Arabidopsis thaliana: one gene and its partners. The protein of the gene in region 2 interacts with the protein of the main gene of each other region in a pairwise test. Each region holds a gene or a part of one and is shown on either strand. Other genes may lie near its edges. The genes, in order: AT4G16430, TIFY10B and AIB.

Region 1 (3,755 bases), on a different chromosome or scaffold from region 2:
TACCATCCGGTCGTGAAAAGTGTTACGTCGCAGCTCAACAACTGGTAGACCGTAGACAAACTGGAAGTGTTCAAATTTTTTGACTGACAAGGCAACAAAAACGGTTCTATATTGTGTATTTAGATAGGAGATAAGTGTGAAGCTTTCTGCTCAAATCTTTATATGTAAAAGACAAATCTCAACATTACATATAAGGAAAATTACACGATCCTACTAAGCTGGAGTTTTTTTTGGTTGGCTTGCAATAGTACATTGATACAACCTCCAACACGGTTACACTTATTACATAGCAGTTACTGCTGTGATAGTTACTGTGATAGAGAGGCAAGGAGCTTGTCCTTCAACTGCTCAGCGGTGCAGCCACCCTGAGGCCGGAGAGTGAATGTGTGAACCACACCCTCCTCTGTGATGGCCACGTTGGAATCATGAGGCATAACTTCATTCTCCCTCAACGTTTGTATCACCTTTGAAACTGGATGAGTTTCCAACGGACAGCTTAGCCTTACAACTGCATCATCATGCCTCTGTTGATAATCAACCTCTGCTGGAGTTATCTGATTACTCTCCCTCCTCTTCATTATCTGCTTCTCTGTTTCATACACCCTGATTTTCTTCTGCATATCCGTGATGTAAGTGATTGCGTCTGCAAGGAGCGAAGCCTTGTCCATCTTGGAGATGTTAGGCACCACCGCTCTCAAAGCGTAGAATCTCTGGTTCAGCTTCTCCCTCCTCTGCCGTTCCGCTTCCACATGGTTTAGAGCCTCTTCTCTTCCATTTGCTGGTTTTCTCCCTCTCTTCCTCGGCTTTTGCTCGTCAGTTAGATACAATGTCTCATCTTTCCCTTGCTCATAACCATACACTTGATTAGAGCCTCCGATCGCTTGCACCTCATACGATTCCAATGAGAAACCCGTGTCATCCTCGGTCTTCGGGGAGAAATTAATACTCATAGACCGAGGTTTTGCTCCACCAAGACTCAGCTGTCGACCAAAGATTTTAGGAGCTTCTTTAGCCTGAACAAAGTCAGACCCACCAAACACTGATTTCACCATCTCAATCACACTCTTATCTTCTGGAATATGTCTTAAAGAACCAAGCTCCACAACTCCAGAATTCACTGGTACAGACAACACAGTCTGAAAACCAGCTGACCTAGCTAAGAAAGACCTAACCCTATAATAACTCAAGCAGCTAGGCAAATCTGCAGCCCAAAGAGGCTTCCCAGACACATAGGTTCCAGCAGGACCGTACTTATTGGTATCACACCTAAAGGAAAAGTACAAAGAAGCCAGATAAAACATGTCGAGATCAGTAAGAGCTCCTGATTTCACCAAACGATGATCTTCATCTGAACCAACGAACGACAAGTGAAGCTTGCGAAGCACACGTCTTTTGATCTCATCTTGCTGAGAGTAATCCTCACCTGAAGCACCCTTTTTGACACGGCAATGACCATCTCCCCAGATCAAGACACAACCATCAGAGCTATTAACGTTGGACGCTAGCCAGAAAAGAGCATAATCCCAATCAGATCCTTCAACAACGTGACGTAACCCTTGTTGGAGATTGGAATCACTTGGTGGTGAGACAAGCTTGGACAAGGCAGTGTTGGAAGCTGAAGCTGTTGAGATGAAAAAGTCGCAAGCTTCAGAGCCTATGGTGGATTCAACCATCGCTCGATCTTCTTGATTCTCCCAAAACTTTTGACCCATTTCTCCTGAAACGTTCATTGACATGGAATATACAAAAATTAGGGTATGGAATCAAATAAAATTAAAGGTATTTGGATTGAGATCGCTGCTTACAAATGAGATAGAAGATGATGGGTTTCGTGAGGAAGAGGAACGAGAATCACGTGATTCTTGCTGAGACACCGAATTTAGGGTTTGTTGGTGAAAAAGCAAAATCCTTTATAAAGGATATAACTCTAATTTATATTGCTGAGAAAGGAATGATCAAAGAGAAGACAAAACCTGAGCTTGGTTCACTTCAGATCTGTAGTGACTTGTTCTGAAATTGACGAAGAAAGAAGAAAAGAGGAAGAGACTATGCGAGAGAGAGAATATGGGTTTAATCGTAATTTAATACCAAGGACATCATTTCCTTCAGTTTTTTAACTGCAAACTATACTTTTGCCTTTTCTTACATACCAAACCACAAGTCATTGTGGTGTAATATCTATTCAACTACAAGTAAACCCATATCACTGGATTTTTGTCGAGATTATGTGTACATGTTGGGAAATTATTTCGTAGTACAACCTATTATGATGGGAGAATCGAAACTCGTCTTCTGAATTAACTTATCGCAAATCACCGTTAATAAGCGGAAAAGGAATTTACACATCTTACAATTATGCGCAAATACAATTGTTAATTGGATGAGTCATGCCATATTCTTGAGATGGTATGATAGGTATCATTACACCATGTAGTCAATCACGATTTTTTTGGATAATGTGGTTTAGAAGAACTAATCGCGTCTAATATAGACAAACTTATTCGTTCAGCAAAACAACAATTCGATATTTTTATTCGATTGACATGAGTCTTATAAAATTTATCACTAGATGTCTAATAAAAAAGGTTCAAACATTTCTAATAATTCGATTTTCGACCAAAATAAGAAACTTTAAATTAGCATCAAACTATCTTATATGGTTGTTTCCTTGCTTAACCTTCTTCCAAATCAATTTTTCAAATTAGCATCAATAAGATTTTAAAATACATCATAATGTTGTTCCGATAGTGTGTGACAACACTAACCATTTATTCCTATACAAGTTTATTTACTTGCTAATTCATTTACTGAAAATGTCCATGAACAAAATACCTAAAAACGAATAACCATAACCCAACCAAATATTAAAGACATCTCCATCAAGAAGAAACCCAAACAGTTTTTCAAACAAAAAGAATATTAGTATTTTATTATAATTTTATATATGATTAAATTTTTATTTTAGCGAACCAATTGAAAAGAGAAAAATATTATGATGGTTTGTATAAAGTATTTCATAGTTTAACGAGAAACATTCTACACTCTCTTTCTTTTCCTTTTATTATTTTTATTATTTTAATAATAAAAAATTACCAATAAAAATGGTCTATCTTAGCTTTTTTTTCTTCATTTTTTTTTCCCTCAACCACCATTCAACAATTAACATAAAAAATAATAGTTTTTTAAGTTGAAGTTATAAGAGTCAATTTAGTTTAAGTCATATGCTTTAGTAATAAGCATGACCGTCTAATCCCAAAAAATCTAAAAAGTACAGTGCCTTAGAAATTTCCTTTACCTCGACTTCCCTAATTTTAATCTTCTCGGTCGGAACTTCTGAATAATATTAGTAGAGATCCAAAACCTCACAAATTTCGACCGAGTTTTGTTGAATTCCGATTAGATCTTTCTTCCACGAAACCCCCCCAAGTACCCATTCCATCTTCTCCGGTGAGTCTCCCATGTTGGCATTACGCTAGGGTTCTTCTTCTCTGTGGTTTCGCATAACCCAATAATCCAATTTTCTACTTGGGCATCAATGGGTCGCTCTCGAGGGAACTTCCAAAATTTCGAAGACCCTACTCAGAGGTTTGTTCCTAATTCACTACTCTAATTTCCGATTTGGGGTTTTTGTGGATTTCTCTTTTGTAATTGCCAATTTGTGCTGAAATTGATTTGAATTTCAAGTTTCTTTGAGTCTGTGTTGTGCAATTGTCATTGATCTCTAGTTGGGACAATGAGCATGGCTTCAAATTTGT
Region 2 (3,755 bases):
ATTATATTAATGGCCATCAACACAAAAACACAAGTGATGTTTCTTACAAAAGTTGCAAGCTAATGTTGAGATCGGCAGAGGAAAGGGTTATACACACTGGCTAAAACTTAAACCCCAGAAGCAAACATTGAACACTATTGATATTGATTTCATACAAATATAATGAGTTTTCGGGGGAGTTAAACAAACAAAACTACTAGGGGTGAAATTAATCTATAGAAAAAATGAACAGAGGAGCAGCTTGATATTTGTAACGATGGAGCATCAGAAGAATCTTACAAGAAGGTCTCTCAAGTTGTGCCTTCTGGGTCGGACAGGCTCGAAGTTTACCGTGAACTGAGCCAAGCTGGGTTAGTAGGCTTGGAAGACGCTTCAGCTGAACCGTCTATTTGGTATGGTGCCTTTGATGTGATCCTGTTAAAGGTTTACGAGTAGGATATTGAGAAATTCGCTTAACAAGAACTTATGGAATAACAAGATATTATGTTTTCATTAAAATGCATTACCTATCCTTCCTCTTCTCAAGGAACCGATGAAGTGAAGCTCTTCTTGCAATCGGGAGTTCTACAAATCAAAAAGAGAGAAAGTTAGAGAAATAGGACTAAGCCAAGCTCAGAGATGGTTGAACCAAAAGAGGCTGAGATCAATTACCGCAGGCTAAAGAGGCCGGGTTAGGCTGAATTGGCTCTTGTGCTGCGGTTTTTGCAGGACTACAAACAGGATTTGGGCTAGAAGCAATCTCTTTTTGAGAATAAGCACTATGGTTATTGTTTACTTCAGCTGTGAAACATGTGAAGCTTTTGGCACTTCCTTTGTTAGCCAAATCAATGACTTCTTTAGCTTTCTCAGCAGAAAAATCATCAAACACCATAACTCGACCACCGTAGAATATAGTCAACGGAGCAGATTGAGACTCTGGCTTCACAGATCTGTTCAAAATCACACAAAAATTAGTTAAACTGATGAAACATAGCTTACTATATGAGACGATTCTTTTCACTATATACATATAAACACATACTTAGTAGTCTCTTTGATCATCTGTACATCTTCTTTGGTCCCAGAGGAAGAGGAAGAAGAAAAGCTTGATTGTCTCGGAAACATAGTCTTCGGTTTAATGTCTTCTTGACCAGCAGAAGAATCCATTCCTGAAGCTTCACAAGGGAACAGATTCATCATTGTAGGCTGACGTGAACCTCCTGCGAAAATTGATCCAAAAGTAAAGATTATTATCATTCACCAATCTCTCAAACAACTGCAAAACAAAATCTACTTAATGACTAAACCAGGCCTATGGCTTTAGAGGATTATGCTTAAACCAAACACAGAACCATCTCCACAAATTCATACACATACATACATATATAGAAATTGATTCAAAATCCATTAATCATCGATTCTCTACAACGATTCAATTTCCAGACAACATGTAATCGATTCATAATTCGTAATTCGCAACAGGAAACTCAAAATTCGCAGAAACGAAATGAACAGATCTAAAAGAGAAAGGTTGATTACCATTAACGTCGGGCTTGCATGTCATCCCTAAGCTCAGATCTCCAAAACTACCCTTCTCCTTCAGGTAACGACTCAATCGAGTACATGTTTGTGAAAAGCTCGGTTTACGACCAGAGAAGTCCCAACACTCGGCAGAAAAACTCGACATCGTTGAAACCGAAATTGAAATCGTTTCGATTGAGAAATTGGAGCAAAAGGATCTTCCTTCCTGAGTTGTTGAATTTTCTCGAATCTTATAAAAAAACTTAGGGTTCTTGTTTATCTTTCTCTGCCAAGTGCGTTTTGTCACGAGGAAGAAATGGAGGACCTCTTTATTACTTTTTTTTCGCTGGTTGCAGATACGGAAATTAGTAAAATATACTCTTATAGTATTAATTAACATAGAGACATTTAAAACACGTGTTTTAATTTAATGTTTTAACGGCAGACCACTGTTTCAGATCACCACCGTCACCCACGTCCCCACGCTTCACACTTGAAATAACCATTTCACCCTCTTACTACTCCTGTTTTTACCATTTTACCCTTACAAGATGTTCAAATAAAATAAAAAATTATGAAAACGTAAAATCCTAAAATTAATTAGTTCAAACAAATCAATGTTCAGATGAAATTTGATTATGATAGTCTTTCAGTTATACCATTTAGTTGGTTCATATATCCTTTTTTTTAAGATGAATCTCTTGGCATTAATTTATGTATTTTTAGCACTATTAATTAGTCTACTATTTTAATCTCATAGACCGGCGTGATATTTTAGCACTCAAAGAGAATTAACGGTATGATTTGGGGGAAAAAAGAGGATTAACGGCGTTAGATAGAGGGAACACGGTGTGGGTCTTACATAACCAAAACTCCACCACCAATGCAAATTTGATCCATAAATCACGTTTTGTATTTTCCCTTTTATTAATTTTTTTTTAGTGTTTTATTTATGACAACAGTAATAAATAATTACAAAAAGCGGGAAGAGCACGTCTCCTCCATGAATCGCGACCTTACACGTGTCTAACTTAACTGCCCACATTTGAGAGAATTTTTCTTGTTGGTGTCGTAGTCAGAGTAATCACCTGTTACGCGGCTTATATAGCAGCTGTGTTCTCCTACGCACAATAGCCGTTGATCCTATCACTCTGTCTTTTATTCTCTTGTTATTATCCCATGCGTTTGTTAGGAACACACAAATAAGTTTGATTTTCTTTTATAACGTAACGTCCAACTTGTTATTTTATTGACTTGGATTGTAGTAATTGCTAACTCATTACAGGTACATCGAGATAACGTAAGGTTCATAGAGTGGCTCGTGAGAAAATAAGGATGATTGGTTAATTTGGTTTTTAACTGTTTTATAAACATCTTCACAAAATTTTATACATCACAAACATATCCATAAGAAACAAAATCAGAAGAAGCTGCAGGTACATACAATTACAAGGAAGAGGGGTCACAAGAAGAACCCAGAGCGCATAAAGACATCAAAGTCTGGATATTATTTAGAGTATGCAACCAAAAAGAAGAAGGCAAGTGGGGTGGTCACAAAAATGCAAGATAGAGGTCACAAGAAGAATAGAAGAACATAAGCTAATTAAGGAATAGTACTCTATATTCCTGTTTTTACTGTAGAAACTTTATCTACTTATGGCTCTCTTATACAAGGCTGATTGATACCCTTTTAGCCATGTTTTTATACTTGCTCTTGGTTTTCACAGCTGATTCATTCCTCTTCTTTCTTTCACATATTTAACAGAAAATAAGCTTACATATGAAAGTGGTAAAACATTGGGCCCTTGGAATATATTTTTTTAGTTTTTACCTTTCAAAAGATGATTTAGTTACTCTCTATATATGTAATTAACAAAGGGAAAACTGTCAAGAGCTACTAAATTTAAAATTGAGAATTGATTTGGCATTTTTTGAGATTTCATGTTAAACAATAGAAATGTAAAGACTACAAAGATTTCCAATAAGAAGGTATCACAAGAAACAGAATTTTAATGGCGAATCCAAACTCTGATATCTCTAGCACGTTTTAGCTCCTGTCCAAGTCTTTGGCTCATCAGATCTTGATCCTAAGAAACTTAGCTTAGCTCTTGGTAGTTGAACAAACTCTGTTGATTCCCTCGACGTAACACTAGCATAACATGGGAAACTTCTTGTAAAACACTGCACATAATTTAAACACTCAGCTTCATAACAAATTCTTAGTCCATCCCAAATCATTTTAGAGCATTTCTGGA
Region 3 (3,755 bases), on a different chromosome or scaffold from region 2:
CATTCGATTATTGAGCCCTACTCTTATCCGTTATTGTTTTTTTATTCTCGTTGCATAATCTCACTAATGTATATATAACACTCGTTTGAATTTTGTTAAAACTATTTTGTTTTATTTTATATAAAATTACCGAAATTCAATCTACAAATTCAAATTTAAATTAGGTTCTCTACATATCTTAAAAAGATAAATAAGTGAAATTCATAATGATAAAGCCAATTTTGTTTTGTAACTATTATTAGCTTCTTTTTTCTTTTTTTTGAAGCAATGTATCTAATCTATTCTCTTCTAACGAAAGAGTATTAATTATTATAGACAAAAAAAAATAGTATTAAACAAGCCTACGCAAAACACGTTCAGTATTAGGTTATAGTTTTTAGTACTAATTAAAATATGAGATATGAGTTTTTTTGTTCTATTAGAACTTAAGAAGATAAAGAATTTATAAGTTGGTGCGACTCCGAATTACTCAAAAGACACCAATCATCGCGTTATCATCCTAATCTACAAAACAAGAGGTCAAATTTTGCATGTCACGTCACAATATTGTACATTATCATCACGTTTTTTTACAAAGCTTTAGTATATCAACGTATACATTTCAATGTACGAGTTTTCATTGTACTATCTATCCCTAAGTTTGAATTAGGTTTATCGAATCTCTTTCTTTATTTATATGCAAATTTTAATGATGTCATTTTAAATTATTATAAGAAAATATCCCCATACAAAACATGGTGAGGCTTATCTCATGCGATAATACTTTAAAATAGGTTATGAATATAATCATGTAATTATAAAAAAAGTTTTTAATTAATGGGGAGAAAACAATTAGAAAACTACAAACACATGATGATAGAAAAGTAGGTTAAAAGTCCATCACATGGTGCTCTCTCACAGAACGAGACCCTTTTTGTTGAACGTTACTGTTGGGCATGAGATTCACGCAAATCCTATGCGACAAATAATTTTCTTTCCATAAAAATCTAAATAAAGAAAGAACGTACCATTTTTTATATCGAAGTTAAGGACTATATATATACTATTGATAAGAATAATATACTCAGACTATACTATTAATTAAATGGACCCACGTTAATAACGATGTCTGAAATAACCAAAACCCCACCAGACAATTCAGACAATATTTCTTTGTTTCTTTATGCATGTGAGTTATTTTTATTGGTAGAGAAAAAAATAAAAACAAATAATTAATTTAGTACTATTTAGTACATAATAAATTTTAAAATATTTCGACCATGTGATCTATACTTCTTAAGTACATTACTATAATTTGAATCTCTCACGTAGGTACATACACACGTGTGTACACAAAACACTATTTTCTCTAAAATTTACCAAGTGCAAATATCGTTGTTTCACTAAAATCACCATCAAGTATGTATTACTTTTACGAAATTAATCGGATTTGGAGACAAATTCAAAGACTAGCCAGATTTAGGGGTGAGATAATCCATTTGCAAAATAGATTTGAAAAGAGATTTTAGATTTTCTATCTTTATTCGGAGAGAAACAATCAAAGTAAGTGAACTTAAAATCAGGAAACAGAGTTAATAATCAGAGTAATTATTAACCATGGTTAAGTTGAATAACCAAAGTAATTAACGTGCATAAGTAACCATGGTTGGGTTTTTAAAAAGAGCTTTCATACAAACTTCAATTACCCCAGCAAGTCTTGTCTCCTTCTCTCTCTCTCTCCCTCTCTAACTGTATCTTCTTCTTCTTCTTCAACCTTCAGACTTTTCTAGTTGCAACTCTCATTCAATTGTTCAATTTCTCTGTAAAAATCAAAGCTTTTTGGAATCTTTCTTCGGCGAGATATTTCTTCACCGGCGCAAGCTTCTCTTGAGCGTGATTCATCACTGGGTTTGCATTTTTTCCTGGTGGGTATTCTTCAAATTGTTCAAAGCTCCGACCTTTTCTTCCTTAGAATCTGATTACTGGAATCTTGAAGCTGGAGAGACTCGAGTTTATATGGTTTCAAGCATCGTTGAGTCAATCATTGAGTTGTGTAGAAGAAAGGTTTGGTTTTCTTCTCCGTTTAAGTGGTTTTGGGTTTGGTAGGATTTGGTGTAATCTGGGAGATAAAGAAAGATGAATATGAGTGATTTAGGTTGGGATGATGAAGATAAATCGGTGGTTAGTGCTGTTTTAGGGCATTTAGCTTCTGATTTTCTTCGAGCAAACTCTAATTCGAATCAGAATCTCTTTCTTGTTATGGGAACTGATGATACTCTGAATAAGAAGCTCTCTAGTCTCGTTGATTGGCCAAACTCGGAGAATTTCAGCTGGAACTACGCTATTTTCTGGCAACAAACCATGTCTAGATCCGGACAACAAGTCTTAGGTTGGGGAGATGGGTGTTGTCGAGAGCCTAATGAGGAAGAGGAATCAAAAGTTGTTAGGTCTTATAATTTTAACAACATGGGGGCAGAGGAAGAGACATGGCAAGATATGAGGAAGAGAGTGTTGCAGAAGCTTCATAGGTTGTTTGGTGGATCTGATGAAGACAATTATGCTTTGAGCTTAGAGAAAGTTACTGCTACTGAGATTTTCTTCTTAGCTTCCATGTATTTCTTCTTCAATCACGGTGAAGGCGGTCCTGGGAGGTGTTATTCTTCAGGGAAACATGTGTGGCTCTCTGATGCAGTTAACTCTGAGTCTGACTATTGTTTCAGGTCTTTTATGGCGAAATCTGCGGGAATCAGAACGATCGTTATGGTTCCTACTGATGCTGGTGTTCTTGAGCTTGGTTCTGTTTGGTCTTTGCCTGAAAACATTGGCTTGGTTAAGTCTGTTCAAGCTTTGTTCATGAGGAGAGTTACGCAACCAGTAATGGTGACTTCAAACACTAACATGACTGGAGGGATTCACAAGCTTTTCGGGCAGGATTTGAGTGGAGCTCACGCGTATCCTAAGAAGCTCGAAGTGAGAAGAAACTTGGATGAGAGATTCACTCCTCAAAGTTGGGAAGGCTATAATAACAATAAAGGTCCAACATTTGGTTACACACCTCAGAGGGATGATGTGAAAGTGCTAGAGAATGTGAATATGGTTGTAGATAATAACAATTACAAGACGCAGATTGAGTTTGCGGGATCATCAGTTGCTGCTTCTTCGAATCCATCTACAAACACTCAGCAAGAAAAATCAGAATCTTGTACAGAGAAAAGACCAGTGAGCTTGTTAGCAGGAGCAGGAATAGTTTCTGTTGTTGATGAGAAGAGACCGAGAAAGAGAGGGAGAAAGCCTGCAAACGGAAGAGAAGAGCCATTGAACCATGTGGAAGCTGAGAGGCAGAGACGCGAGAAGCTTAACCAAAGATTCTACGCTTTACGATCAGTTGTTCCAAACATTTCTAAAATGGACAAGGCTTCTCTACTTGGAGACGCAATTTCTTACATCAAAGAGCTTCAAGAGAAAGTCAAGATAATGGAAGATGAAAGAGTAGGAACAGATAAGAGCTTATCAGAATCAAACACAATAACAGTAGAAGAAAGTCCAGAAGTTGACATTCAAGCTATGAATGAAGAGGTTGTTGTAAGAGTAATCTCGCCTTTGGATTCACATCCAGCTTCAAGAATCATACAAGCAATGAGAAACTCAAATGTTAGTCTAATGGAGGCTAAGTTATCATTAGCTGAAGACACAATGTTTCACACTTTTGTGATAAAGTCTAACAACGGGTCGGATCCATTGACGAAAGAGAAGCTTATAGCAGCGTTTTACCCCGA

Evidence for each region.
Region 1: the proteins of TIFY10B (region 2) and AT4G16430 interact in a two-hybrid assay, tested with the Arabidopsis thaliana proteins (one study listed by BioGRID).
Region 3: the proteins of TIFY10B (region 2) and AIB interact in a two-hybrid assay, tested with the Arabidopsis thaliana proteins (one study listed by BioGRID).

What each region holds. Positions count from the first base shown.
Region 1 is NC_003075.7:9,265,556-9,269,310, reverse strand, and holds AT4G16430 (basic helix-loop-helix (bHLH) DNA-binding superfamily protein), read right to left. Parts: upstream 2,052-3,755; 5' UTR 1,806-2,051; intron 1,718-1,805; 5' UTR 1,713-1,717; coding exon 309-1,712; 3' UTR 133-308; downstream 1-132. Other genes in the region: NAR1 (ferredoxin hydrogenase), read left to right, coding at 1-48; ADA2B (ADA2 2B), read left to right, coding at 3,536-3,585.
Region 2 is NC_003070.9:28,148,593-28,152,347, forward strand, and holds the start of TIFY10B (TIFY domain/Divergent CCT motif family protein), read right to left. Parts: upstream 1,855-3,755; 5' UTR 1,667-1,854; coding exon 1,519-1,666; intron 1,200-1,518; coding exon 1,022-1,199; intron 930-1,021; coding exon 652-929; intron 565-651; coding exon 507-564; coding exon of another isoform or gene 503-506; exon of another isoform or gene 415-502; coding exon 327-414; 3' UTR 1-326. UniProt on the Arabidopsis thaliana protein: Repressor of jasmonate responses. Jasmonoyl-isoleucine (JA-Ile) specifically promotes COI1-TIFY10B/JAZ2 interaction. Activated by MYC2, MYC3 and MYC4 transcription factors.
Region 3 is NC_003071.7:19,091,248-19,095,002, reverse strand, and holds the start of AIB (ABA-inducible BHLH-type transcription factor), read left to right. Parts: upstream 1-1,629; 5' UTR 1,630-2,115; coding exon 2,116-3,755. UniProt on the Arabidopsis thaliana protein: Transcription activator. Positively regulates abscisic acid (ABA) response. Confers drought tolerance and sensitivity to ABA.